Stegostoma tigrinum: one gene and its partners. The protein of the gene in region 1 interacts with the protein of each later gene in a pairwise test. Links are inferred from orthologs where the notes say so. Each region holds a gene or a part of one and is shown in the gene's direction. Other genes may lie near its edges.

Region 1 (7,117 bases):
TCCTGTGTCCTAGCCCATGTCAGATCTCATTCACTCATCACTTCTGTCCACACTGAGCTACACTAAATCCAGCTAAGGCACACTTTGACCTAAAAGTTAATTTATCTCCAGCATTACAACCTTTCAAGATACATGTGTTCCTCTAATTCCAGCATCTTGAAAATTTTAGTTACTTCCCTGTGCCTTTGCTGTCTGTGGTACCAAATTCTGTAATTCTCTCTTTAAACCCTGCTGTCTGTAGAATTTTCCTTCCTCCTTTATGATACTCCTTAAAGCCTTCTTCCCTGACCATGCTCTTGGACATCTATATCTCTTCATGAGACGTGATATGACATTTTCTTTTAAGGTGGCATGGTGAAGGGCCTTGGAGCAATATACAAATATAAGCTGTTGTTATATGTTGGTTCACTTTTGGAGGACTTAATAAAGTTTAATATTACTAATCTCTGAGCTGTTTTGCTGTCTATTTTCCTCTTTGTATATTCAGATTATGTATGCCTTAGCAAAAGTCTTCTGCAGTCTAGATTGATTTACTTTAGAGACCTGGATAATCTGAGCACACTATCATGTCAGCTTTCCATCATGATAGTAAAGGCATAAATGAGTATTATTTTCATAGCTTCATGTATTAACAATTGAATTTATACTAAAGCCTTCTTGCAATGATACTAAACTATTTAATATATCCTTCAATGTCATTACCTTTTTTTAATTTATTGATTAATAGGATGTGGGTGTTGCCCGTCCCTAGATGCCCTTGAGCAGGTGATAGTGAGCTGCCTTCTTGAAACGCTGCCATCCACCTACTGTGGCCCGACCCACAATGCCATTAGGGAGGAAATTCCAGGATTTTGACCCAATGACAGTGAAGGAACAGCAATATATTGCTCGGAGGGGAACTTGAAGGTGGTGGCGTTCCCGAATATCTTATGCCCTTGTCCTTCCAGATGGAAGTGGTTGTAATTTTGGATTGTAGGATAACAAAGTGTGAAGCTGGATGAACACAGCAGGCCAAGCAGCATCTCAGGAGCACAAAAGCTGATGGTTCGGGCCTAGACCCTTCATCAGAGAAAGGGTCTAGGCCCGAAACATCAGCTTTTGTGCTCCTGAGATGCTGCTTGGCCTGCTGTGTTCATCCAGCTTCACACTTTGTTATCTTGGATTCTCCAGCATCTGCAGTTCCCATTATCAGTGATTTTGCATGGTGCTGTCTGAGGATCTTTGGTGAATTTCTGCAGTGCATCTTATAGATTGTACACATTGCTGCAAATAAGGGTTGGTGGTGAATGAAGTGGGTGCATGAAGTGCCAATCAGGTGGGTCGCTTTGTCTTGGATGTTGTGAAGCTTCTTGAGTGTTGTTGGAGCTGCACTCATCCAGGCAAGTGGAGAGTATTCCATCACACTCCTGACTTGTGCCTTGCCAATGGTAGACAGACTTTGGGATGTCAGAAGATATGCTGCAGTATTCTTAGCCTCTGACCTGCTCTTGTAGCCATTGTATTTATGTGGTGAGTCCAATTGAGTTTCTGGTCAATGATAACCCCCAGTATGTTGATAGTGGGGATTCAGTGATGGTAATGCCATTGAATGTCAAGGGGCAGTGGTTAAATTGTCACTTGTTGGTGATGGTCATAGCCTGGCATTTCTGTGACATAAACATTACTAACCACTTGACATGAGCAGTTTCAAATGGTGCTGAACATTGTGCAATCATCAGAGAACAACCCCACTTCTGACCTTATGGTGGAGGAACGGTTGTTGATGAAGCAGCAGAAGAGGGTTGGGCCTAGGACACTACACTGACGAGCTCTCACAGAGACCACATGGAGCTGAGATGACTGAACTCCAACAGCTACAAGCATCATCCTATCTGTCAGGTCTGACTTTAACCACCAGAGAGTTTGCCCCCGATAATAATTTGTTCCAGTTTTGCTACGGCTCAGTCAAATGTAATCTTGATGTCAACGGCTGCCATTCTCACCTTACCTCTGGAATTCAACGCTTTTGTCCATGTTTGAACCAAGGCTGCAATGAGGTCAGGAGCTGTGTGGTTCTGATGGAACCCAGCCAGGCATCACTTAGCAGGTACTGATAGCACTGTTGATGACACCTTCCATCACTTTATTGATGATTGAGAGTAGACTGATGGAGCAGTAATTGGTCAGATTGGATTTGTCCTGCTTTTTGTGTACAGGACATGCTTGGGCAATTTTCCACAATGTTGGGTAGGTGCCAGTGTTGTCTCTGTACTGGAACAGCTTGGCTAGGAGAGTGGCAAGTTCTGGAGCAGAAGTCTTCTGTACTGTTGCCGGAATGTTGTCAAGGCCCTTACCCCTTGTACTATCCAGTGTCCTAGCCACCTCTTGAAATCACATGGAGTCTATCGAATTTACTGACAACTGGTGTCTGTGATGCTAGGGATCACTGAAGGAGGCCGAGATGGATCATCCACTGGGCACTTCTGGCTAAGTATTGCTGCGAAAGCTTCAGCCTTTTTTTTGCACTGATTTTGCAAAATGTTTGCAATTATTTGCTGCCATAGCAGCCATGAACCATTGCCTCCTATATTGAAAAAAATTACATAAAATCTCCTGGACTAGTTTCTTTGAAAAGCGAAGTCTGGCATTTCTACTGTACACTGTGTACTATTTTGCTTAAACTATATCCTGGAAATGTAATCTTTTCAGACACTTGAAAGTTTATATCTAAAAGCAATAGTCTGTAAAGTGCAATTTAAAATGTTGTAGATTCTCAATGTAACATAAGTTCAAGTGCAAACACAGAGCAAATAAGAATTTATGTGAACCTGATAGAAGAGCAATTTTGAAAAGTGTTCAATGCAGCTGTGACTGGTATAGTGTTGTTCCTTTTCAGGAATGATCACAATTGGACTTAAGCAGAAAGAAAAGAAGCAGCATTTCTACAGTGTTTTAATATTAAGTCAGATATTGCCTCTTCACAACAAGCTGAAACGATTATTTGATGCTGTTAGATATAAGAATAGGTGTAGCCTCCTACTGACTGTGCTGAGGGCTGGAATTTTGTTATTCCTGAATAATTTGTTTGTTTGTCCAGCAGTTTAAGAAAGGGCATCTTGTATCCTCATACACATTGCAGGGATTCCAATGCTACTTCGTAATAGTTCACTTTCGAAATATACACAATCATTTCTGTAAATCATTCATTTAAACATATAATGTTTGAAAGCTGAAAAGGTGTAATGAGTATTTAACATTTCACAGTGTAGACTTCAGTCTGTATGCGTTGCTCCTCTCTCGAGTTTCTTTTTACCTCTTAAGGGAAGCCTTACACTAAAATTGCTTACATTATTTATGAACTTTAGGACCTGCTGGTGCCAATGGCACTAGAGTATGTTTCCTTCCTCCACACACCCTTCTCTGAATAATAGAGGTCATTAATGGTGCTGAAAAGTCTTTTTAACATACTCATGGAGGATACCTTAAATATGTTTAAATTCTACCTTCCCACCTATAAGTTAGTGTCATTGATACCATTTGGAAGGATAATAGTCTCTGCAAAGAACTTATATTTGCAAGATGCCTTGAATTTTTTTTTTCGCAGGTGTATTCACGTACACATTGCCAAAAGCGTTTCTCCTTGTCCTTAATTTTAAGAAAAATGAGACAAGTGAGATCTGTGTGGCTGCGAAGCGAGAAAAAAAACTATCCAAAAAGTGAAACTGCTGAACTCCAGTTCCACTTTCAGCAATGACGGTCGCGTTCGGACCATTCCATCACCTTCAAGCATGACTTGTATTTACCCTGCTCGCTGCTTCTCAGAGGTCTCGCCCTGCCCTGAAGGGTTAACAGGGAAAGTCTGAGGACTGGCTGCTACTTCTGGTTCACAGAGCCATCCAGTGATGAGCAACCGCTGGGAGGAGATGTGAGTGGGAAGCAATACCAGAGGAGGGTGCTCGATGTGGCCAGGGAGGGTGCTCTGTGTGCCCAGGGGAAGTGTAGGACCCTGTGAGTGTCAGTCTCACCTGGATTCTCTCTCTCCTCCCAGTGAATTGACGTCAGGCTGAGTGCTAGCTTCAGGCTGACACAGGCAGAGAGAGGGAGGGAGGGGCAGACACACAGACAGAGGGGCTGGGCTAGCTAAACTCAGCGCTAACTGCTGCCTACCCTGTTGTGTGCTCAACACGGGAGATCGCCCAGAGGGAAGCCGCTGAACCATGTTCTGTTCCCTGCTGCCGGGCTGCGTCCACCTCCTAATCCTTTTAAGTTTGGGCAGCGAGTCCCTGTCCAGGGAAGGTAAGAACCACAGGGACAGAGAGAGAAACCTTGAAAGCGGAGTCTTGCTGCCCCTGCCCCTCCGCTTCCTAAACACCTCCTGGAGTGAACTTATCAGAGCAAAGGGTCCGGAGGCAAGGGCAGTAGGTGGGGAGGAGCGAGATTGCCGAGTGCGGGAATGTTTGCTGCTGGGAACTGAAGTGTTCCGGGGACTTAAAGTCACTTTGCTGTCATCTCCTTTTCTCATCCATCCGGAGAGCTGGGGCGAGTGTGTTAGAGTGTTCGGGCAATCTGATCAGTTGGTACTGAGTGCCTCTCTCGTGCTTCGTTCCTTTTGCTCAGGGACTTTAACCTGTAAGAAACTCTGTAAGCAACGAGTTGAGTTACGGGATGTTTGTTTTGCCAAGAGAGGGTCATAAAGTTTGAGTTTCCCTAAACAAGCACAGATTCTTACCCATTACTGATCGCAGGCATTTCCTTCTTCGCCTTTTTATGTCAGTTTATACACATTTATGATTGCATAATTGCGTGCACTATCACTTAAAGCACAGCTCAAATAAAAAGGTCCGATTGGTTCAGGATCTCAAGGTTCAACCATGGATTATTGCAAGTAAAGGGTGTGCGATGCCAACGTACGAAAATGCAATGATCCTTTTTTTGTTAGCTGTAGCAAAATGTGTCAATTGTTTTGTCTTTATTTGTAACTATGCACAATAGCATGAACTTGATTCACATTTCACAAGCTTGTAGCGTTCTACAAAGGGGGCGAAGTTGCACTCAGTGAAGCAATCTGTACATTTTAAAAAAGTTAGCTGAAGTGTTGAATGCCCTGTGGAATTAGACATGTAACATCTGCCGTAGCAGCTCTGTGATGCTGTGTTCTGCTAAATGTAACCCAAATGTCCATTGATGTCTCATCAACATGATGAATATTTCTTGCACTTGTAGTTGACTATGGAAGTTATACACAAGGAAGTTGTGAGCAGACTGCTTCAGGAACAAATAATTTATTGTGTTCTACTGAGTTTTGTTTTAAGTCCTGATAATGTAGCTGACTGCTGAGTGGCATCTTCAGGATATTTGTCAACTAGTTGGTTTAAAAGTTTAAATTGTCTAATTTAAATAGTTAAAGGAACGAACTCTTTCTACTAAATTAAAATAGCATTGGTGCTAAAAATACAAAATAAATACAGAAGATACTAGAAATGCTTGGCAGGGCAGCCAGTCACTGTTGAAGTTGGTGAAATGTCAGTTTTGTATCTCCACAGATTCTGCTGGTTCTACTGAGGGGTTTTTTTCCAGCAATTTCTGTTTTGTTTTATTATAAAAGTTCCTTAATGATCTGATAGTACAGCAATCTTTTGTTCTGCATTTAAGGGAGTGCCATTTCCAAGGAAATATAAGGATAAGGTGGTGACTTTGTGAGTTGGCCCATAACAGTGAACCACTCATTTGTGAATTGCTCATTGCATTAAGACAAAGTTGTAAAGGCAGAAGCTAGGTTGCAATGGAAATGAACTTGATATTGTGATTGTTTGCAATTGTTCATAATTTTACTTGAGCATTTAGTGTTAAAATCCATTAAAAATTTGCTGGTTCATTTAGTGTGTGAAAAATAACTCAAGCAAATACAAATTACTTTTATATACATCCCCATCCATTTCCTTCTGCCTTGTAAAACCAAGGTTAAATTATGAGGGCAGCTTGTATAGATTAATCGTGTATTCATCCGATGATAGAATATTAAACAGTAATCTATTTGAAATGTTAACAATGTCTAAACGATTTGATAAAACAGAAAGAGGATTCTTTTCTCTTGTGAGGGAGGCAAAATAACATGGGGACATTAAACCTAGGGGCTATCTAGGCTGTTCAGGAATAATGTAAGGAAATATTTTTTTCACACACAAGATAATAACAATCTGAAGCTATTTTCCCTGCTCAGCAAAAAGGTTTTTTGAGGTTAGGTCATTTGAAAATGTTAGAACTGAAATTACTAGATTTTTGATGGGCAAGAATACTCAGTGTAGCAGAATGTAGATATTATGGTGCAGGTCAACAATTATCTGCTTGAACAACAGAACAGACTTGAGCTGAATGGCCTACTGTTTATGTTCTGTTTGCCACTGTCATCACTGTCATTGCTATTAGGATCCTTTCAGACAGCGATATTTATACTGTATAGGATATTGGGTAAAAATTCTGACACAATCTATATTATTGTTGAGCCTACAAGAGCATTTCCTACTTTACCGTTTTGACAAATTGTATCTGTGCCTCTCTGAATTAAATTGTGAGTTTGTGCCGTAAATGTTGAATTATGCCAATTTTGTACTGCCTCAATAAATTGTAAAGTTGGCCAAATTAGTTGAGATTAGGAGCCTTACTTCCAATAAAGGTCTTTCATCCTGTCGGCTTGATGTGATTGAATGTATCTCACGGAAAAATGATCAGTGTACCACTAGTTTAGCACCAGTGATGTTATTAATTAGCATTAATGTTTGATTGGCATTTTCTGTGCACTGCAGCCATAATATAATGTATTTCAACCCAAAGCCAGACAAAGTTTAACACAATACTGTATTAACTTTTCTCTCCTCAATAAATGTATCCCCATGAAATGAACTAATGTACACCTATTGAATTTCCCTTCAATTGCATTTCCCCCTAGAAAGAACAGAACACTGTTGATTTTTTAAAAGAAATGCTAATTGCTGTGACACCGCCAGAAGGGTGATGAGTTTAGACATTGGCAAGGTCATGTGTGGCAGTATATGATTAACTCTGTCTCTTTAGAAGATCCTCACAGATTAAGTGCAAACAAACTAAGCAGATTTTAAAAATCCTCCTTTCAGCATAAATT
Region 2 (7,615 bases), on another chromosome or scaffold:
CAGCAGCCAGCGCGCAGGCGCGAGGCCGCCGGCCGCCGACTGTTGTGACCGTTGGATTCGAAAAACGTTCGAAACGGGCGGCGCGCGAAACGGCCCCAAGCCCCAAGGAAAACGACCTCGCCTCAGCACGGCGAACAGTTTCTCCATCCCTTCGTTTCCGCCCGAGCACCTTTATCGCTTCTCTGTACTCGATGTCTGATGGCGCTGTCGAGGTCGTTGCAATGATTTTTGTATTTTTTTGGAGGGGGGTGTTCGTTTAATTTTGTGAAGGGGGACTCCAGGTGAAGCAAGCTTTTCCGGCACACGTGACCTCTCAAGCGAACTAGGCAGCGGAGGGGGCGGAAGTCGGGTGCGTCGCCCTCTGGGAGGTGTAGTTTCCCGCTTGTTATCCCAATCGGTGGGAGTGTGGGCTGTGAGTTCTACCTGGTGCGTCACTCTGGAATTTGTAGCCTGCGCCCGCCTGAACCAATCGGAAAGCAGAATTTGGGCGAGCGGCCTCAAGGAGCATTGCCTTTTGGGATTTGTAGTTCCCTGGTAGCCCAGTTCGTCCCCTCCCCTCACTGCACCACACAACCAGCCCAGCTCTTCCCCTCCACCCACTGCATCCCAAAACCAGTCCAACCTGTCTCTGCCTCCCTAACCGGTTCTTCCTCTCACCCATCCCTTCCTCCCACCCCAAGCCGCACCCCCATCTACCTACTAACCTCATCCCACCTCCTTGACCTGTCCGTCTTCCCTGGACTGACCTATCCCCTCCCTACCTCCCCACCCACACCTTCTCCACCTATCTTCTTTACTCTCCATCTTAGGTCCGCCTCCCCCCTCTCTCCCTATTTATTCCAGTTCCCTCTCCCTATCCCCCTCTCTGATGAAGGGTCTAGGCCCGAAACGTCAGCTTTTGCGCTCCTGAGATGCTGCTTGGCCTGCTGTGTTCATCCAGCCTCACATTTTATTATCTTGGATTCTCCAGCATCTGCAGTTCCCATTATCTCTGATACCCTTCACAGCTACCTGTGGCAAAAGAAGGCTTGACAGCCTGTTATTCTGAAAGTATGCCCTCTAGACCTAGACGCTTCCCTGAGGGGAATCATCCTCTCCACACTTACACTGTCAAGCCCCTGAAGGATCCTATACGTTTCAATGAGATCACCTCCCATTCTTCTAAACTCCAGTGAGTAGAGTCCCAACTTATTTAGCTTTGCTCATAAGACAATCCCTCCATACCAGGGATCATCCTTAATGAACCTTCTCCAAACTGTCCCAGTTTAAATAAGGGTCCAGACTACCCACAGCAGTCTAGATGTGATTACCTAGCAACATATACGCTTACAGTGAGACTTCCCTACTTTTATACTCCAATCGCCTTGAAATAAGGGACAACCTTCCATTAGTCTTCTTGATTACCTGCTGCATCTGTGTGCTAGCTTTCTGTGTTTCATGTACAAGTCCCTTAAGTCCCTCAGAGATAGCAAGAACTGCTGATGATGGAGGAGCAGCAGGCCAAGCAGCATCAGAGGAGCAGAAAAGTTGGCATTTCAGATCAGGACATGTCTTTCAAAATTGAGACGTCATTGTGATACTTGAGGAGGCCCAGGATGGATATATCACCCACGGAGTGGGTGGGGAAGTTGAAATGGTTTGTGACTGGAAGGCATGGCCTCCTCTACATCGGTGAGACCCAGTGGAGGCTCATAGATGCTTTGTAGAGCACCTGTGCTCTGTTCGCAACAAAAGACAATACCTTCCAGTCACGAACCATTTCAAATCCCCCTCTCACTCCCAATCCCTGGGTGACATGTCCATCCTGGGCCTTCACCAGTGTCACAATGACACCGCCCAGAAACTGGAGGAGCAGCACCTCATATTCCTATAATCCAATGCTCTCAGTATGGACTTTACCAATTTCAAAATCTTTCCACACTCATGACCAACCTCCTCTCTCATTCCTGCCTTCTTGACCTGACACAACTTGTCCATGTTCTCTCCACCAATGCACTCCTCCCACCTCACTGACCAATCCCCAACACTGCCTACCTGCATTCACCTATCACCATCCCACCTACCTTCCCCAGCCCTACCCCTCCTCTCTGTTTATTTCAGAGCTGTCTTCCCCTGCCCCTCATTTTTGAAGGGTCCTGGCCTGAAATGTCAACTTTCCTGCTCCTCTGATGCTGCTAGGCCTGCTGTGCTCCTCCAGCTTCACACTGAGTTACCCCAAGTCCATTTGTGTTTATGCAGTTTTTCTCTTTTAAATAATACTGTTCTTTTGTTCTGCCTTCCAAAACAAACAACTTCGTGTTTTCCCACATTATACTTAATTTGTCTGTTTTTGCCCATTTACCTAACCTATCAATGTTTCCCTGTAAACTGTTGGTATCCCTCTCACAACTTGTCTTCCACTTATTTCTGTATCACAGAATGGTTACATTATTTTGCCACATCATTTCTGCGCTGGCATACCAAAAGAACAACTTACTTACAGTAATTCATCTGCGTTCTTCCCATAACCCTACACATTCTTCATTTTCAGATGAAAGTCCACTTGAACCTGTTGCATCACAATTTTACATTCGTTGAGCATCACTAAATATTGTAAAACATTCCTTCAGGTGATTCACAGGAGCCGAGAAGATGATTTAAGAACTTTATCATGAACCACCTAAAGAGTTAGTTGGTCAATAAACAGGAATTATTTTCAGGGTTTCAAACTCTAGGGATAAAATTTTAAAATTTAGGTAGGAAGAAAAGAGAAGCAAATAATAGGCAGTGGATGAAATATCCACACTTGTCAGACAATTCAAAACTGTGAAGGAATCCAAATGGGAAATCAGGAAAACTTCTATACTCAGAGTGGTCAGCATGTGGAACTCCTACAGAACATGTTGAAGTGAATTACCTAGATGGTTTCAAAATAAAATGACACATAAATATGATTTAGGAAGGATTTAAAGACAATGGAAGGTATGTTAATACGTGGTGAACAATGAGCTTGAGCTTAATTAAACCCAACAGGATCAAAATTCTGAAACAAGAACAGAAATTGCAGAACAAATTCAGCAGATCTGGCAGCATCTGTGGAGAGAAAGCAAATTTAAACAATTCGGGTCCAGTGACCCTTCATTGAAACTAACAGTGGATTTGATGCAGATTTAATAATCTCCTCCAGCCCCGACACCCTTCTCTCATTCTTCTCTCCGATTCCATCCTCTTGAGCACCCCCTGTTCCCAACATACTACCATTTTCAACCTTGCCTTCAACTGCCGGGGATCCTAAGATCCAACGTGGAATACGTGTGTGAATATTACGATGGTACAACCATATTAGTTGGATATGACCTGCAGAGACAAGTTGATTTGTATTGCATATTCCATTGTTTTCAAATCAAATTGAGTGGCATGGTGGCCTCAGTGGTTGGCACTGCTGCCTCCCAATGCCATGTTCCATGTTCCAGCCTCGGGCAACTGTCTGTGTGGAGTTTTCATAAAATCCCCATGTTGGTGTAGGTGTACTCCAGTTTCTTCCCACAGTCCAAAGTAGTGTAGGTTTGGTGGATTGGCCATACTAAAGTATCCAGCCATTTGCAAGCTAGGTGGATTAGCCATGGGGAACGCATGTTTACAGGGATAGGGGAAGCGGCTGGGTCTGGGTGGACTCAATGGGCTGAACGACCTGCTTTCACTCTGTAGGAACTCAGTGAATCTGTCAAAGTTCTGATCAGCTATGTACATTTTAAAATTTGCATATGCTGTCAGAGACAGATTTAGAAATTAGTTAGGAGGTATGTGGGATGTTGCTGTTATTTATTCCCATTTTTGTTCTTCAATATAAATACCATACAAACATTTTGATTTAAATATTATAGGTATTTTGCAACGCACAAGTGCCTGTTCCACCTCATACGCTTCTCATCATCCCAATATTCGCAGAATACATTCTATTTGAATCTTGGAGGTAAATTGTTTGTAAAGACCCTCAAAGTGAACTGCCTCCAACTGCTGTGCTCTAGAATGTTCTTCTGGCCGTTTTAAAAACTGGTCAGCCCATTGGCATGAGTGGGTGGGCCTAGGGCGTAGCTGTTCTACCAATTGGCCATGCCGTCCTGATTGACAGTGCCATTACCCAACCCTGACCATTTAACAGGCGGTACGACCGGCATGAGTGGGGAACATTTTGTAATTGACGGTAGGACAGCCAATCGGAAAGCGATATCTCGGAAAGCTGGACCAACGGGGTGCGAAGCGTTAGAGGCGGGCAGGCTTCCTTTGATGGATTGTTGAATGAGCCAATTGAATGAGAACATAGGGAACGTCCTTGGACGTGGCTCGGCCTCCGGGAGACAGACGGGCAATTAGACTAATCGGAAGAGAAAAGAACTTGAAGACCCTAACTAATAAGAAGAGCGTGAAAGGAGGGGGCGGGATTGCGTCCGATGATGGACTGCCAGGCAGACTAATCAGAATGAAAGAACCTGAAGATTTGGGCCAATGAGGACTGTGGGGGCTGGATGCAACCCGTAGATGGACTGACGATTGGACCAATCGAGAGGGAGACAGTTGGGGGCTGCGGCCAATGGGAGCGTGTAGGAGGTGAGGGCGGGGATTTCCGGCGTGAGTTCTGGTAAGTTCGAGAAGGCGCGTGGTGAGCTGATCGAACTGGTAATGGATCAGGCGAAGGTAAGAGAGAGGAAGGAACGCAAAATAAACGCTTGAGAAAGCACTGAAAAAAAGTGCACTACAACCCTGTCCTAAACTAAGGACGTTAGCAGGACGATATATGGGTCCTGTGATTTATTATTGCACTGGCTGTACTGGGGTGGAGCTCCATTACAACGTGAACGTGAGGTTAGGTAGAAAATAAACCCTCAAAAGTAGTAATCTCTGGTTTACTGTTGGTGTCCAGCTGGAATAAGGGAATGAATATAAGAGATAAATCAATTGCAAAAGAGATGTTATAATGTTTGGGAATTCAGTTTCTTGGATCATTAGGATCTCTTTTGGGACAGAAAAGACCTGTTCAAAAAGGATGGGTTTCATCTGAACTGGAAAGGGACCAACGTCTTCGTTGAGACTATGAGAGATCCTAAGTCACAGCGTTAATAGAAAGATGGATGCGAGCCTTGCAAGAACAAGTTAGTTAGAAGAACAAGAGCAAGTCTGAGAACACGATAATTCTGAAGAAGTGAACTGTATTTATTCCGATGCAAGTGTTCTTACTTGTAGGGCAGATAAGCTGTTGTCATGTTGAGGAACATGAATTGGAATGTCATAGTGATTACAGAAACTTGGCTGAGGGAAGGACGGGGCTGGCAGCTCAGTGTTCTGGGTTTCAGGTGCTGTGGGAAGAAGGGAGACAGGCGAGGAGGGGGGAGTGGTGTTTTTGGTTAGGAAGAATGTTATTGCAGTAATTAGAGCAGATATTTCTGAAATATTGTCCAGTGAAAACATATGGATAGAAATTAGAAACAAGGAAGGAATGATCATGTTGATGGGATTGTATGAAACTACCCCCCCTCCCAAAGTAGTTGGGGGATGTTGAAGAAATATGTAGAGAACTCTCCAGTTTACATAATAATAGGGTTCTAATATGTGATTTTAATTTTCCAAACTCTGACTGGGAGTGTTAAAGATTTGAATGTGAATAATTTGTTAAATGTGTTCAGGAATTTTTTTTATTGATACATAAATGTTCTGACTAGAGAAGGAGCAAAATGTGACCTCCTTGAGTAGTAATACAGGGCAAGTGACTGAAGTGTTAGTAGGGGAACACTTTAGGACAAGTGATCATAATTCTATTGGACTGAAAATAGTTCTAGAAAAGGATAGGCCCTCTATGAAAGTTAACCTTTTTCCAATTAAAACTTTATTTTTAATGATATGAGACACAAATTTTCAGAAGTTGATTGAAGTAGACTGCTCATGGGTAAAAGGACATGTGATAAGTGGGAGGCTTTCAAAAATGTGATAACGGGAGTTTGGAGTCATTATGTTCCTCTGATTATAGGGTAAGGCTGGTAGGATTAGAGAACAATGAATGAATGAAGATATTAAGATTCTAGTCAAGAATAAAGAATCATGAGATATGGACAACTGGATTCAAATGAATCTCTTGCACAGCATAAAGAGTGTAGGGGCATTCTTAAGAGGGAGCTCAGGAAGGCAAAGAGGGAATGAGAGCCTTGGCAGGTAATGTTAAGGATAATCTAAAGAAATTCCATCAGTACATTAAGAGCAAGAGAGCAACTGGAGAGAGAGAGGGAGAAAGTGCATGTAGGGCCCCTTAAGGATCAAATATGTTGTCTTTGTATTGAGCCTCAGCAGATAGAAAATATCCATTTAAAATTCTTCTGTCAGTTTTTATTGTGGAGAAAGAAATAGAGGTGAGAGAACTCGGGGAAATAAATATTGATGTTTTGAAGGCAGCTCACATTACAGAAGAGGAAGCTCTGGAGGTCTTTAGAAAATATAGCAGAAGATAAATCTCCAGGACCTGATCTAGTGTAACTAAGGACCTTGTGGAAAGTTAGGGAGGAAAAATTTGTACCATCCGTAACTACCAGTGAGGTGCCTAATGTTATGCCTTGGTGTTAGGAGAAGCCTGGGAACTATAAACCCGTGAGTCTGACATTGGTGGGTAAGTTGTCTGAGATGATTGTAAAAGATAGGATTTACATGCATTCAGAGAGGCCAGGAAGAATTACAGATAGTCAGCATGGATTTGTGTGCGGGACACCATGTCTCTGAAACGTGATTGAGCTTTGTGAGGAAGTAACCAAGCAGATTGAGGGTAATGCAGTAGACCATTATTTATTTGGACTTTAGTAAAACCTATGACGAGGTTCCACATGGTAGACTACTTAGTAAAGTTAGATCACATAGGATTCAAGATGGGCTTGACAACGGGAGACAGAGTGGCAGTGGGGGGGTTGTTTTTCGGACTGGAGGCCTGTTACTGGTGGTTCCACAAGGATGGTTCTGGGTCTGCTTTTGTTCATTACATATAAATGATTTAGATGAGAATATGGAAGGCCCAGTTAATAAGTTTGCAGACAATACTGAAATTGGTGGTTATAGTGGACAGTGCGGAAGGTTACTTGAGATTACGAAGAGATCTTGATCAATTGTGGCAATGGGCTGAGGAGTAACAGATGGAACTTAATTTGGGTAAATGCAAGGTTTTTGCCTTTTGATAAAATAAGCAAGGGCAGGACTTGGACCATTCATGGTAGGATCTTGGGTAATGTAGAACAGGATATAAGGATAGGCTCGGACCTCTTTCACAGGAGTGTAAGAGGTTGAGAGATGATCTTACAGAGGTTTGTAAAATTGGGGGGTATAAATAAGGTGAATGACAAGAGTCTTTCGCCAGTGTGGGGGGTTTCAAGACTGGGGGGCCTATTTTTAAGGTGAACGAAGAAAGATTCTCAAAAGGATATGGGAGCAACCTTTTTATACAGTGTGGTTTGTGTGTGGGATGAACTTCTTAGGGGAGTGGCAGGTGCAGTTACAATGTTTAAGACATTTGGATAAGTTCATGAATAAGAAATGTTCAGAAGGATATGGGCCAAGCACAGGCAGGTGGGAATAGTTTGGTTGGGATCACGATCAGCATGAACTA
Region 3 (7,893 bases), on another chromosome or scaffold:
ATAGCATTAGAGGCTGAGAGATGCCCTAATTGAAGTCAGTAAAAGAATGAAAGCATTGATAGGGTGAATGGTTAGGAGTTTGTTTTTGGAGGGTGGAAATGTCAAATGTTAGGGGGCAGAGGCTGAAGGTGCGAGAGGTTCAGTTTAAAGGAGATGTGTGAGGAAAGTTTTTTTTTAAACACAAAGGATGGTAGGTGTCTGGAACTTGCTACCAAGAGAGGTAGTAGAAGCAGCTATGATAGCAACATTTAAGAGGCATTTAGACAGACAGGCAGTGAATGAAGGGATATGGGCCATGGGCCATGTGCAGCCAGCTGGGGTGAGTTTAGAATAGCGTCATGGTTAGCACAGACATGGTAGGCCAAAGGGTTGTTCCTGTTCTATGTTCTCTGTTCTCTGCCCACATCTTGCCTTATTTTAATGAAATCTGCCTGCCTCCAATCCAAAAGCCTATCTTGCAGATCATTGTTCTCCTTTTCCAGAAACTGAAAACTCACGATGTTTTGGTTACTATTACTAAAATGTGCTCATAATGTCACCTCAACCAAGAAACATGCTTCATTTCCCAGAGTTCGATCTAGTACTGTACTGTCCCTTGTTGGGACACCTACCTGTTGATATAAAACACGTTCTGGAAGAACTCAACTTTTTTTTTGAAAGAACATCCTTCTTATTCGTCTGCTTCTATCTTGAATCCAAATTCTAAAAATGTGGTGATGTATGTAAAGTTATAAAGTTTTAATCACACCATTGGCAACAGTTTTGCTTGGAACCCTTGATGTTGTACTGTTGTCAAATACAGCCTTGCTATCAATGGCAGTCACTCCCATCTCACCCTGTGATTTCAGACCTTCTAGTAGTCTTGGCCCAAAAATGGACAAGACCTGAGTGGCCCAAACTAGGGTTCAGTATCGGGGAGGCGATGGTCTAGTGGTATTATCGCTGGACTGTTTATCCTGAGACCTGGATAATGATCTGGGTTCAAATCCCACCATGGCAGATGGTGGAATTTGAATTTCAGATATTTATTAAATTAAGAATCTAATGATGACATGAATTCACTGTTGATTGTTGGAAGAACCGACCTGATTCACCATTGTCCTTTAGGGAAGGAAACTGCCATCCTTGCATGGTCTGGCCTACATGTGACTCTAGACCCATAACAATGTGGCTGACTCTTAACGGCTGTCTGGGCAATTAGGGATGGGCAATAAATGCCCCAAGCCATCGATACCCTCGTCCCTTGAATGAATAAAAGAAAAGCAGTTGTTTAGACTGTCGACAACTACTTCCATTATGTTGCTGATGATGCAGAAGACTCTTGGGGCAGTAATTGGTCACGTTGGATTTAGCCTGCTTTTTGTGGACAGTATATAGTTATGCATTTATCCATTTTGTTGACAAGGTGCCAGTGTTGTCTTTCTCCTGAAATAGCTTTGAGGGTGGAGGGAGTGTGGTAGTGTTGCTCTCTCTAAGTCCTTCTGGAAGCGAAGTCCCATCTTCATATTAAAGATAACTTGTTGGTGCTTTGTGTGACATTACCACTGTGCAAAATTAGAACAAATCTAGCAACTCAAGATAACAAAGGGTGAAGCTGAATGAACACAGCAGGCCAAGCAGCTTCTTGGGAGCTCAAAAGCTGACGTTTCGGGCCTAGACCCTTCATCAGAGAGCTCTCTGAAGGGCCTAGGCCCGAAACCTCAGCTTTTGTGCTCCTAAGATGCTGTTTGGCCTGCTGTGTTCGTCCAGCTTCACCCTTTGTTATCTTGGATTCTCCAGCATCTGCAGTTCCTATTATCTCTAGCAACTCAAAACTGGGCATTAATATGGTATAATTGGTCACTTATGAATGGTGGCAAACAATTAAACAAATTTCCCCAAATAACCCCATTCACAACCAAGGTGGAAGCCATTACATCAGTACTAAAGACAAGGCTGTTCAGCCAGATGCGCTGAGTGAATGATCCATTCAGAGTGGCCATTAATAAATGTCAGCTTTTAGCTAATTCTATTCACTCCACATGATACCATTAGAAGGCTGAAGGCATTGGATCTTTCTAAGCTGAGGAGCCTAACAACATGCCAGCAATAGCAATGAAGACTTGCACTCTAGAACATCTCATGACACCTCCAGTACTGAAGCAGGTGAAGTGTCTGCAGGAAGAATTGAAAACATCCTGGTTTGGGAAGACAGGTGACAAGTCCTATTTGTGCCACACAAACACCAAGCTATGATTATTTACAACAAAACAGAATTTAATCATAATCCTTGACACTATATGGCATTACTATTGCTGAATCCCCTACTATTAACATTGAGTTACCACTGGCCAGAAAATGAACTGGACCAGCTCCATAAATACTGATTACAAGAGCAGCTAAAATACTCAAGGTTTTGCAGCAAGTAATTCAACTTGTGCCCCCTCAATGCCTGTCCACCGTGTACATGGAACACGATGGAATACGCTCACTTGTTTAGATAAGTACACTCCAACAACACTTGAGAAACTAGACTCCATCAGGACAAAACAGCCCACTTGACTGACACCCTATCCACTCCCTTCATTACCAACACACAGTACCAGCAGTATGCATGATTTGCATGATCCACCACAGTAACTCACTGTAGCTCTGTGACAACACCGATCAGTCCCATACCCTCTACCATCTAGAAGGGCCAGTGCTGCAGATATATAAGAATACTATTAACTCTAAGTCACACACCATTCTGACTTGGCAGTATATTGTCATTCCTTCATTGTCTCTGGGGCAAAATCCTGGAGCTCCCATTCATGTTTCCATCCCTAAGCCCCAATAACTGAAACAACTCAAAAAAGCAGTTCAACACCATCAGGACCTTCCCTAGGACAATTAGAAATGGGCAACCAATGATAGCTGAGCTATCAACACTCCACCCATGAATAACATTTTTAAAATTAGCCACACCAGGTAACATTTTATTAAATGGTCTCTGACTCTGTCCAGAGCAGTTACGTATTTACTGAAATGTGATGACCAAAATTGCACATGGTACTCCATTTGTGACCTCACCATTGTGTTGTATAGTTTCATCATTACACCCTGACTTTTGAGTTCTGTACCTTTGCCAATGAAGCAGAACATTCCATATACTTCCTTGACAACCTTATCAACCTGTACCGCTATCTTTAGGGATCTGTGCACTTGTCAAACTTTCTCACGTCATCTATCCACTCACTGTATTCCCAATTACTGTGTATTATCTTTTACTGTTTGACCTCCTTAAATAAATTATATCACTTTTAACAGAATTGAACTCCATTTGCTGTTTTTGTGTCCATTGCACCAACCCATCTATATAGTTTTGGAGCTTACAGCTAACCTCTTTGCTGACCACTGCACAGTAAATTTGCTATTTTATTCAAGTAGAAGTTAATGTATAAAACAAGCAGCAGGGGTCCAAAACTGCACACTGTGGAACACCACTTGAGGCAATTCTCCATTCCCAAGAGCAGCCATTGACCATTCCCCTTTATTTCCTATTATTAAGCCAATTTTAGATCCATTTATTAGACATAATAACCTGTATCCCATGGACTTTTATATTCTTGACCAGTCTGCCATTTAGGACCTTGTCAAATACCTTACTAAAATCTATGTAGACGACAACCATTGCTGTACCATTGTCAATCCTCTTTACCACTTCTCCAAAGAAATCAATCAAATTTGTAAGGGATGAAGCTACACTGACTATCCCCAACCAGTCCATGCCTTTCTAAGTGACAGGTGTTATCCAACCTCTCAACAGTTTGTCCACCACCAAAGTAAGACTGACAGCCCTGCAGGACAGTCGTGGTGCTGCTGACGTGATCTTGGTGATCAACTTTGAAGTCCTCAGCCAGAGTGCTTTCTGTATCTGCAGTGTTGAATGTGGAAGAATATTTTATTAAATGGTCATTTAATCAAATGATTCATTAGATGGCAGCAGGAGGTGTTGCAGTTGGATACCTTGCCCATTTTTTTTAACCTGATGCCATGCAACTTCATGGGCTTCACAGTTAATGTTGAAGATTCCTAGGCCAACTGCTGCCTGAGACTGGATCACTGTTCTGTCATTTCTCTTGGCATTTTCCAGCCATTTGGTCTGGATGTGTCCAGCGCCAGTGATGATGTTCAGGCCATTGTCATCTAAGATTTGAACCTGTGTATATAACTGTTGTAGTGGGACTGCTCTCCCAGTTTTCACTCAAGCCCCCAGCTAGTTTGCTCCTGTTCTTTCCTATGCTAGGGTCAATGCCATGTGGCCTATTAGAGTTTGAAACAGCATTGATATAGGACCATTGCTATCTGGCACTTTAGAGTCAACGACATTGCTAAGAGTTTGGAGGGGCATAGTTTACAGATAGGGTAAGGATGACCGATTTCATCGTTAAAAAATATGTGAAGTTTTGTTTTAATGGCAATCAACAGTGGTTACACAATTGCCGTGAGACTAGTTTTCAATTTGAGATTTTTGCTGAATTCTGTTTTCATCTTCTGCCATGGTGGGATTTGAACCCATATCCCCTATGTCGGAGCCTATGGTTTACTCATCCAGTGAAAGTGCCACTGTGCCAGCACTACCTGATGAAGGGTCTAGGCCCGAAACGTCAGCTTTTGTGCTCCTGAGATGCCGCTTGGCCTGCTGTGTTCATCCAGCCTCACATTTTATTATCTTAGTATTCCAATGATGGTTGTCTTTTTCAGTTTACCCCTTGTGTCTCTGAGTCTGTTTGAAGTGAACTTTTATGTTTATCACATTTGAGAATGCATGGTGTGATTTTTTTTTATTATATCTTTATTCAGCGTCTGCTTACAGCTGTTCTGAGCCAACTGCATTGCCAAACAGCATGTTTCAACAGCATTATATAGGCTGAAATACAGCGGTGCCCCAGAGATTGGACTTCATGAAGACTTAGCTCTGCTTATTACAATGAGCAAGCTTCTTGTTTCAGGATGTCAAATTATGTAATTATTTCAATACTTATATACAGTATTCTACTCTTACATCCAGTCCAGTTAACTTGGTAAGTCACTGGCAAATAAAACCCAAAAGAACTATAGATGCTGGAAACAGAAACAGAAACTGATGGAAAAGCTCAGCAGGTCTAGCAGCATCTGTGGAGAGAAAGCAGTTAACGTTTTAGGTCCATTGACCCTTCTTCAGAACAGTCAAAATTGTGAAAGATCATGACAGTGTAAATAAGGAGAAACATTTCCCACTTATTAAAGGATTGATACCAAGAGGGCTCAGATTTGAAGTAATTAGTAGATGAAGCAAAAGTGATATCTGAGATGGCTTTAAGAGATAGCAAGTAGTTCAGAGCTAATTGCATTGCCTGAGAGTATGATAGAAACCGATGCATTAAAAAGGATTCTCGATTGTGTTTTTTCAAAGCGCAAAGTGCAAGGTTACGGAAAGAATGACATTACCTGCTCTTTGGAGAGCCAGACTTTTCCTGTGCTGGAAGAATTCTGTGAGGTTATTGACTCTAGACCTGAGAATGGAAAAATCAAAACATTTTTAAACAAATGCACATTATAAACATTGATGTTCAGAGGAACATATAGTTGACCAAGGAACACAGCTTGCAGGGTACAGCAAGTATTTAGGAAAGAAAAGCATATAGCATGTTGTTCACGATTGCAATACAAAAATAAAGGAGGCCTTGCTACGATTGTGCAGGACTTTGATAAGACAATGTTCCATTTATCGCATTGACACATATGAGATTGTGAAGGGCTCTGGGAGACATGACTGTGGAACTTGAAACATTACCCTCAGCGAAATACGGAATAGTTTTGTAGGATGTTCCATCATTCAGGAAAAAGGAAGATTTTAGAAGTTCTCACATTAAACAAAAAGGCCAAAGAACTGCAGATGCTGGAAATAAAAAAACAAAAGCTGAAATTGCTGGAAAAATTCAGCGGGTCTGGCTGTCAAAGGTCTCTGGATCTGAAACGTTATCTCTGCTTTCTTTCCACAGATGCTGCCAGAACTCCTGAGTTTTTCCAGCAATTTCCAATTCTGTTTTAGAAGTTTTACTTTTGCACTAGTTAGACATGTTTTGTCTTGCGACTTCTGCTGAGACCAATATCAAGTTCCTCAAGGAACTGGTCTTTCTAGAAGGTGGAGTTTCAAGTAGACAGGATTGTAAAGAAGGTGTTCAGTACATTTGCCTTCATTGGTTAGTGCATTGAGTGTAGGAGTTCTGATGTCATGTTGCGGCTATACAGGACATTGGTAGGCCACTTTTGGAATAGTACATTCAGTTCTGGTCTCCCTGCAGTAGGAGAGATGTTGTCAAACTTGAAATGGTGCGGAAGAAATTTACAAAGATGTTGCCAGAGTTGGAGGGTTTGAGCTGTAGGGAGAGGATGGAGCTATTTTCCCTGGAGCCTCAAAGGCTGAGGGGAATCTTACAGAGGTTTATGAGGTTATGAAATAATGAGGGGCATGGATAGGGGGAAATAGCTGAGATCGTTTTCCCAGGATATTGGAGTCCAAAACTAGAGGGCTTAGATTTAAGGTGAGAGGGGAAAGATTTAAGAGACCTTAAGGGCAACTTTTTCATAGAGGGATGGTGCATGTATGGAATGAGCTGCCAGGGGAAGTGGTGGAGGCTGTTACAATTACAACATTTTAAAGGCATGTGGTTTGCTACATGAAAAGGAAGAGTTCAGAGGGATATGGACCAAATGCTGGCAAAAGAGACTAGTTTAATTTAGGATGGACAAGTTGGACCAAAGGGTCTGCTTCCGTGCTGTACAACTTGATGACTCTAAAGCCAGAGTTAGTCCTCCAGAGAGGGAGTCAGGAGAATTGATGTTGGAAGATAAAGAAATGGCAGAGATTTTAAACTAAGATAATAAAGTGTGAAGCTGGATGAACACAGCAGGCCAAGCAGCATCTCAGGAGCACAAAAGCTGACGTTTCGGGCCTAGACCCTTCATCAGAGAGCCTCTCTGATGAAGGGTCTAGGCCCGAAACGTCAGCTTTTGTGCTCCTGAGATGCTGCTTGGCCTGCTGTGTTCATCCAGCTTCACACTTTATTATCTTGGATTCTCCAGCATCTGCAGTTCCCATTATCTCAGAGATTTTAAACTGATTATTTTGGGTTTTACATGGAAGTTGACTCGGACAATTCCCAAAAGATTATTGAAAATCAAACATGACAGAGAAGGTTGAATTTAGAACAATCATCATTACCAGGGAAAAGGTGCTTAAAAAAGACTGTTGGCAATAGTGGCACCTAAATCCTTGGACTAGATGGCTCACATCCTTGGGTATCAAAAGAAGTGGCAGTACAATGAGGATATGTGTTGGTTGTATTCTTCCAAAATTCCTTTGATTCTAGAAGGGCAGTAGTGGTTTGGAAAATAGCAAATGTTAATACCTTTCTTGAAGAAAAGATGGCAGCAGAAAGCAGAAAACTGTAAGTTAGTTAGCCTAACATGCGTCACAGGATCAATTCTCAAGTTCATAATTCGTAGCGGCAGAGTAGCAGGGCTGCATGTCAGCTCCCGAGCCTGGGGTTCACCCACTTTCATCTGCTTGCTTTCTTTCTTTTTACATTTGCTGTTTTTCTTTTCTGCTTTTTCTCATATTTCTTTTCTTTCAAGCCTTTTGCAGTGGGTTATTCGGACGCTTCGACATATCAGTGACAACGGACTATGAGAGGAATGGTAGCAGGTAGCAGCCTCGCAGGCCCCTCAGTGATCAGAAGAAGCAGTAGCACATCAGCAGCAGCAAGAGCATGGTCTGAGGTGGCTGCAGCAGCTGATATGGTTCCTCCCAGCGACTAGAAGCGATGGTGACGGCATAGATGGGGCCCCCCTCAGTGTTCGCTGCTGGCACTGGCTGCAGTGGCAAAG
Region 4 (7,123 bases), on another chromosome or scaffold:
TCTGATTGTGGTACTAATTATTCTATTGAAGTGCACATGCTTTGCACAATCAGAAAATGATTTACTTCTCATTTTACTCCTCATGACTATATTTTGTACAGACACAATTAATTGATTTATGAATTAACCTTCTATTACTTATTAACTACTAATTATTAGTAACAGACTCTCAGTCTCAGTGATTCTTTTTTATTCATTCACTAGATGAGGTTGTTGTTTGCTAGGTCATGACTACCTTTGAGGTTCTGCATTTAAATTTGAATCTGAATTCCTCAAACTGTCTCAGAGAGCAAGATACCTAGTATTTCTGATGTTATTGTTCCAAGAATCCACTGAGAAAGGACGTGCCCAAACATTGACAGAAGGCATGTATCACAACCTTTCAGTGCTCCTGGTCATAGCTGTGGTGAATAATATCTATGCCCTCACTGTACCGTCCTCTACCACATACTTTCTAATTACAACATTACCCTCCTCCCCAACATGATTGGCATTCTGTACGATGGTTAGCCTCAGAGAAACCTCTAGATGCTGCACAGCTTAGAAAGGCTGTTGGATCAGTTTGGTCATAGACACTATAGTCCTTAGTTTTCTCTACATTGACTGCAAGTATATTTAACTAGTTGCAATCTTCAAAGGAATCACTACATGCTGGCTTGCATAACTGCCTCACTGACATTCATAATCCCCTGTGCCTGGTCATTGATCATTTGCAAAGTTCTACCTCACCTGGGGGATGTCATTACCACCGGAACTAAGTGCTGAGGAATCTCCCTTTTGTTGATGTCCCACAACGTCTTCATCAAAGACATCAGCTCAGCAGATCTGGGTTGAAGCTGTAGACAGTAGACTGTATTGTCATTCCAATGTATTCCCACATTTTCTGTCTATTTATACCAATAGCCCTGCCATATCTTTTAAATCTTGATTTAATTAGTTTAGTTGATAAATAAAATAAATAAAAGAAGTAACAGCAATTTGCAATCAACTATCTGGGAAAAACAAAAAGAATTTTCACCAGCTACTGGAGGTAAAACAGTGAGATTAAAAAGAGTGCCTCCGTCCCACTCTTCACCAAATTCCCACATCTATCAAATTCTCAGCCAATTGGTTCACAAAACACTGTTTTTGGATCTCTCTCGTATTTCCCCAATCCTTCAATGACTACTTGAACATCTCTGGGCCACTTCAGGGTTGCATTCTTGGTCATTTCCCCTTCAGTAACTACTGGACTTTAATGGTGTTATCACCAGAAGCATGGATTCAAAACTACAACTTCAACTTATCCAACTTTAATGTAATAAAATGGCATAAAGTGCTACACAGGAACTTTATAAGATGCATATTAGAAGACATGAGGTCAGTTGACCAAATGTTTAGTCAAAGAGGTAGGGTTTAAGGAGTATCTGAAAAGAAGAAAGTGAGACAGAGAAACAGAAAGTTGTGGGGATGGTATTCCAGAGTTCAGAGTTTAGAAAGCTGAAGGAACAGTCACCAATGGTGTGGCGGTCAATATCAGAGATGGCCTAATGGCTAGAATTGGATGATTGTAGATATTTGCTGGAGGTGTGAGGGTGGAGGAGATTATAGTTATGAGGAGGGGTGAGGCCATGAATGGATTTGAACGCAAGCATTGAAATTTCAAAATTAAGACATTACGTAATCCAGAGGCAATGTAAATTAATGAGCACAGCGTTGATAGATGAACAGAACTTAACAAGTTAAGAAATGGAAGCAGAATTTTTGGGACCTCAAGTTTATGGTGGTTGAATGTAGGAGGTCAGCCAGTTACGCATCGGAAAAGTGAACCCGAGAGATAATGATAGAATGCATGCACGAATGCAGCAGATAAGCTGAGACCAAAGAGAAGTTGGGCAATATTATGGAGGTGGAAACAAGTGATTTTAATGAGGCATGAAATGAGATTGGAATCAAATGTGATATCAAGTCTACAAGTAGGCTGAAAGATAGTAAGAACTGCAGATGCTGGAGTCAGAGAGTGTGGAGGTGGAGGAACACAGGCAGGCCAGGCAGCATTTATTTTCTGAAGGGTGGCGACCAGAAACATCAACTTTCCTGCTCCTCTGACGCTGCCTGCTGTGTTCCTCCATCTCTGCACTGTGTTATCTATTACAAGCAGGCTGGGCTTGGTCTCAGACATCTGCCAAGAACACGGGTACAATCAGGGACAAATGAGTGGGACTTGGAGTGTGGCTGTTGGTTCTTCGCCGAGCTTGGCAAATGAATTGCAAACTTTTTGTCTCCAGTGGAGAAGACATGATCAGTGGGTAGGTTATACCAATATTTTGCAACATCTCTAACTTGGAGTGCGGCATGAAACTGGCATGACTTCAATCTTCACAAAAATCATTTGGGGAAAAGTCCTGTTCGTCGAGAATTGGATATTGAATAAGCATTGTAATCATTTGGAACAGAGAGCTAGTTATGAATTACAATTGGTTGTCTTCAGCATGCTTGCAAAAAAATTATGCTGTGCTTTTGGGATGAATTTGCCAAACAGCAGTGTATACATGATAAGTCGGAGGGACTGAGGACAGATACCTGCTGCAGCATAAGTGACGGTGTAGAAGTGGGAGAAGTATTACAATCTGCGCCATGATTATATTAAGAACCCAAGTGTATTCTCACCAATCTAGACAGCAGTTGACACGTGTTCGAAGAGGGTGGTGGGGTGTCAACTGTCTCAAAGAAAGCAGGTAATTAAGGACAAGGAGGGAGAATATACTTTTGTCATAGTCACTTAGGACTAATTTTTGGAAATGTTTCAAAGTGCTAGGTTGTATAATTACAGAAATTAGGTGAGTGTATTAGCAAAGCCAGAATAATGTTGATGGTGATTTTTTAACTTTAGCATAGAGGCAGATAAGCAGCTGACGGAAAGTTAGTGAATTTCTGAGATAGTGGGAACTGCCGATGCTGGAGAATTTGAGATAACAAGGTGTAGAGCTGGATGAACACAGTGGGCCAAGCAGCATCAGAGGAGCAGGGAAGCTGGTGTTTGGGTCTGGACATTCTGAAGAAGGGTCCAGACCAGAAACATCAGCTTTCCTGCTCCTCTGATGCTGCTTGGCCCGCTGTGTTCATCCAGTTCTACACCTTGTTATATCAGTGAATTTCAGAAGCGTGTCTGGCATAGTTTCCTACAGCAGTATGTTCTGGATGCATCAAGAGGTCAAGCAATGTTTGATTTCATAATGGGTGAAGAGTTGGATTTAATATGTAACCTAATTGTGTATGAACATTAATAAAATATTGATCATGGTATTATTGAATTCAACATAGTATGGGAAATCAAAAAGCATGAATCAGCTACTGGAGCTTTAGATTTAGGTAAGGCCAATTTAAACAAAACGAGACAGAGACTGTGCACAGTAAACCTGTAATCTGTTCACAGAAAATCTACTGATGGGTAAAAGAACTGAATGCAGTGATGATATTTAAAAGAAACATTTAACACAATACAAAACCAGTTTATTCCTGAAAGGGAGGAGCTCCACTTCGCGAAAACAGCCATGGACAATTAAAGAGACAAGGGCTAGCATAAAACTAGAAGGGCTTAGAAAAATGCAGAACGGGAAAGATACAAAGCCATAAGGCGCTTATTAGATCTAGATCTGGGGCGTAGAATGCATTGCCGGAATGGGTAGTGGAGTCGACCTCAGCGGCATTTAAGCGGCTATGAGATAGGCATATGGATGATAGTATAAGGTAGCGGCGGAGGTTAGATAGACCTTAGGATTAGGATAAAAGTTTGGGACAGCATCGTGGACCAAAGGGTCTGTACAGTTCTATACTTGGCGCAGGGTCAAAACCCTAAGAGGCAGGGGTTTGGGGATCTCTTTCATCACATGGACTGCAGAGGTTCAACTTCCACCACCCACCGTCTCAAGGAGCAGGAGGAACCGGGCAGAAAACTCCAGCACCTGAGGATAGCCCTGCAAGCGAAGACGAGCGGGTCCTGACGGGAGGTGGCGCTGGCGCGCTCAGCGGCGGACGCGCGTCCCCGCGAGGCGGTGTGGGGGCACGCGGGAGCGCTGCGCGAGCGGCTTCGGTTGTTCGCGTCTGTGCCCCAGGAGTTTTGCGGGGGGGGTGGGGGCGCAATTCGGGCGCTGCTCGCTGACGGCAAGTGCCCAGGTGCCTGGAGACTGAGATACCGATCGAGGCCGTGAGCTGAGGTGAGAGGGGCTGGGGATCGATGGACACGGTTGGCGTGGGGGTTTCGGAATCGGCCCCCGAGGTGCTCGGAGGGAGAAGGGGAGGGTGTGCGGCTGAAGTTGGAGAGCTGCCCAGGGATAGGAGCGTCACCCCACCCAGGGCCCGGACCCCGGACCCCGGACCCCGGACCCCAGACCCCAGACCCCAGACCCCAGACCCCATCCCGGTAAAGAGAGGGACCCCCTCACCCGGTGTGTTAATAACGTTGTTCCACTTTCCACACAACACAACTAACTCATTTAAAAAAAAATATAAAATTATATGTACTGAATAGTGTGGCCGTTCAGCCCGTTGACCCCGTACACGCTCTTTATAGCCCTGCTCTTCTCCCCTCCCCCTTTTTGTTTTAATCCCTATCCAACTCCCTGTTGAAGGCTGTTGTTTAACCTATTCCCACCATCCTGTCATTGGCTGGAGAGGGAGGGAGTGGGAGCTTCCTCTCCTGGGGAAGGTGATTTGGGACCTCCTGTTTTGGGTGTGTCTAACAGCGGCGGGATGGGACCTCGTACGCTGTGCGTGGTAAGATTAGGAACTCATGACCAGGCACGGATTTGGTTCCAGGTAAAGTTTTAAAACCGTTTTAGTTCTGAGGATATCGAAGTCATGCAGAAGTATTTTCTTTGGGTGAGAGTTGAGGGTCAGGCATCTGCCCGTAGCAGGGGTGAGTCCTGTTGTTACCCGGGCCCCCTGGACTCTGGCCAGTGAAAAGGTGGTCTGTTGCTTTGGATCTTTTTGTTTGTACTGAGCAATGTTGGCTAAGGTTGATTAACTTTTTATATGAATGGCATATTGTTGATAAAGAAACTCTCTAGTTTGTTTTGTTCTTGCTGCTCTTTGTTGTAAAGTATAGTGAGTTTATTTGTCATATTCTGTGACTATTATTGTGTGCCAGAAGTTGGAGGTTGGTCAGCTCTGTTGGCTATCTTGCTAATACTGAGTGAGGCCAGTAGCATTGGTTTAGTTTCCACATTGGCTAAGGTTACCAGGAAGGATTGCCCTCCTTAACTTCTCCCCTTCTCGGAGGTGTGGTGTGTGAGGTTAAAAGACTAACATCCTGTGGTCTGGTACAACTATAGCAACTGTACACCAGAGGTGTAAACGTATGGTGGTATACTGATGTTGACATAAGAACACCTTTTAAACAGGAATAACTGAAATGAGGTGTTCCAAAACAGTTTTTAATTCCTGTTTTATCTGAACCTCCCCTTCGAAACATAACTTTTTCACGACTACTTTTAGAAAAAACATGCACAGATGCTTTGGAGTAGTTTTTTTAGTTTTAACTTCTATTAAATTGTTCTGGAGTTGTGAAATATTATGAAATGTGGATATTGTATGTAGTTCATAAAAAATATTTATGGACAGTTTAATTTTTTCATCTTGTCTGTTTAAACTTATGTAGTTCCTTTTTAGTGCAATTGCAAATTAAACTGTAAATCTCAGTATAGGTTGGGTCTGTTCAGCTTCATTGTGGCTGGCTGAAGGTAAATGATCTTCAAAGAGGTCATGAAAGGGCAAAGGTAATGTCATCTTCTAAATCATTTTTGTAGAAGATAATTTGAAATTGGAGGAAAACATATTGTGTGAATCAACTAATGTAGATAATTGAAATTTTAAAGCAGGAGTTTGTTTTTGTTTGTGGTGACCTGATAGTGACTGCTGTGAGAACTGGATTAGATGTAAATGTAAACTTGTGTAAAAGCAAACCAATTTTGCAGAGGAATTTTAAGGCATGATTAAGTTTATAAAAAGCTATTTCCTTTCTTGTGCTTGAGATTGGTTTTGTGATGGACCTTATTGAAAGCACCTAGATCTGATTCACAACAATGGGTTATATTTGTTAATTATGAAGAAGTGCATAATGTTTCTCAATTTTCTTTTTTGGTCAGAGTCCTTTTGTCACTTCAAGAAAAGGATGTACGAAAGTGATAACTGCAGCTTTCATGATTGACCATTTGGGCTTGAATGTACTTGATTTGAAATCTGTTATGCAGATTGATGTGTGATTTTTAATTGAGATGAAGTAGGAATCATTTTGGGTGGTTAATAACTTTTAAAGGGTTTGGAGGTGTACGTGAACATTGGTTTACCTCAAAAGGACATCCTTTTGCTTTGATTCATTTGATTTTTGCTTTGAATGCATCAGCTGAGTTAAAATTTGAGAGATTAGTCTTCATGTTACCCTTTCGAAACTCTGTTTATATTTCTAAACTATTTGGTTTAAAGCTTCAGTGAGGTGCTAATGAAGAGAAATATAAAATAGTTGATTGTTCCTTATTGTTGGAGTGATCTGATTTAGTATGTCTATTAATGAAAAGGCACACTGACTTTCAGTTTGTTCTGGTAGTTTCTGCTTCTTGGGTTAAGTCCAAGTTAATTTTGATTATAGAATCATATAACCCCCATTGTGTGGAAATAGGCGATTCGGCCCAAAAATGCACACCGACCCTCCGAAGAGCATCCCACCGTATTCCTGTAACTCTGCATGTCCCACAGCTAATGCACCTAGCCTGTACATCCCTGGTCAATATGGGGCAATTTAACATGGCCAATCCACCTAACTTGCACATCTTTAGACTGTGGGAGAAAACCAGAGCACCTGGTGGAAGTCCACGCAGATACGGGAGAACATGCTTACTCCACACACAGTCACCAGAAGTTGGAATTGAACCTGGTACTGAGGCAGCAGTGCTAACCACTGACTCACTGTGCTGCCTTTGCTTTCTGACATCGCTTCAGAAAAAAATCAGGAAGGTGATGGATGTAAGTGCTCTCAATATTTTGTTTTAAAACGTCTACGCCTGTGTGCACCTGAAGCTGACCTCCACAGATGAAACATGTCAGTCCCAACAAGGCTATAATGACAGCATCCCAGATTTTTAAAAAT

Evidence for each region.
Region 2: the proteins of egfra (region 1) and stip1 interact in binary tests that used the Homo sapiens proteins (3 or more experiments, as listed by UniProt). The link is inferred for Stegostoma tigrinum from reciprocal best matches to the Homo sapiens genes EGFR and STIP1.
Region 3: the proteins of egfra (region 1) and ptpra interact in binary tests that used the Homo sapiens proteins (3 or more experiments, as listed by UniProt). The link is inferred for Stegostoma tigrinum from reciprocal best matches to the Homo sapiens genes EGFR and PTPRA.
Region 4: the proteins of egfra (region 1) and eps8a interact in binary tests that used the Homo sapiens proteins (3 or more experiments, as listed by UniProt). The link is inferred for Stegostoma tigrinum from reciprocal best matches to the Homo sapiens genes EGFR and EPS8.

The regions. Positions count from the first base shown.
Region 1 is NC_081355.1:101,250,701-101,257,817, forward strand, and holds the start of egfra (epidermal growth factor receptor), read left to right. Parts: upstream 1-4,100; 5' UTR 4,101-4,196; coding exon 4,197-4,275; intron 4,276-7,117. UniProt on the Homo sapiens protein: Receptor tyrosine kinase binding ligands of the EGF family and activating several signaling cascades to convert extracellular cues into appropriate cellular responses.
Region 2 is NC_081395.1:4,430,441-4,438,055, reverse strand, and holds the start of stip1 (stress-induced-phosphoprotein 1), read left to right. Parts: upstream 1-4,602; 5' UTR 4,603-4,659; coding exon 4,660-4,674; intron 4,675-7,615. Other genes in the region: ADP-ribose glycohydrolase MACROD1-like, read right to left, coding at 1-147. UniProt on the Homo sapiens protein: Acts as a co-chaperone for HSP90AA1. Mediates the association of the molecular chaperones HSPA8/HSC70 and HSP90.
Region 3 is NC_081354.1:170,237,250-170,245,142, reverse strand, and holds the start of ptpra (receptor-type tyrosine-protein phosphatase alpha), read left to right. Parts: upstream 1-4,846; 5' UTR 4,847-4,951; coding exon 4,952-4,986; intron 4,987-7,641; exon of another isoform or gene 7,642-7,893. UniProt on the Homo sapiens protein: Tyrosine protein phosphatase which is involved in integrin-mediated focal adhesion formation.
Region 4 is NC_081378.1:42,685,882-42,693,004, reverse strand, and holds the start of eps8a (epidermal growth factor receptor kinase substrate 8a), read left to right. Parts: upstream 1-4,031; 5' UTR 4,032-4,196; intron 4,197-7,123. UniProt on the Homo sapiens protein: Signaling adapter that controls various cellular protrusions by regulating actin cytoskeleton dynamics and architecture. Depending on its association with other signal transducers, can regulate different processes.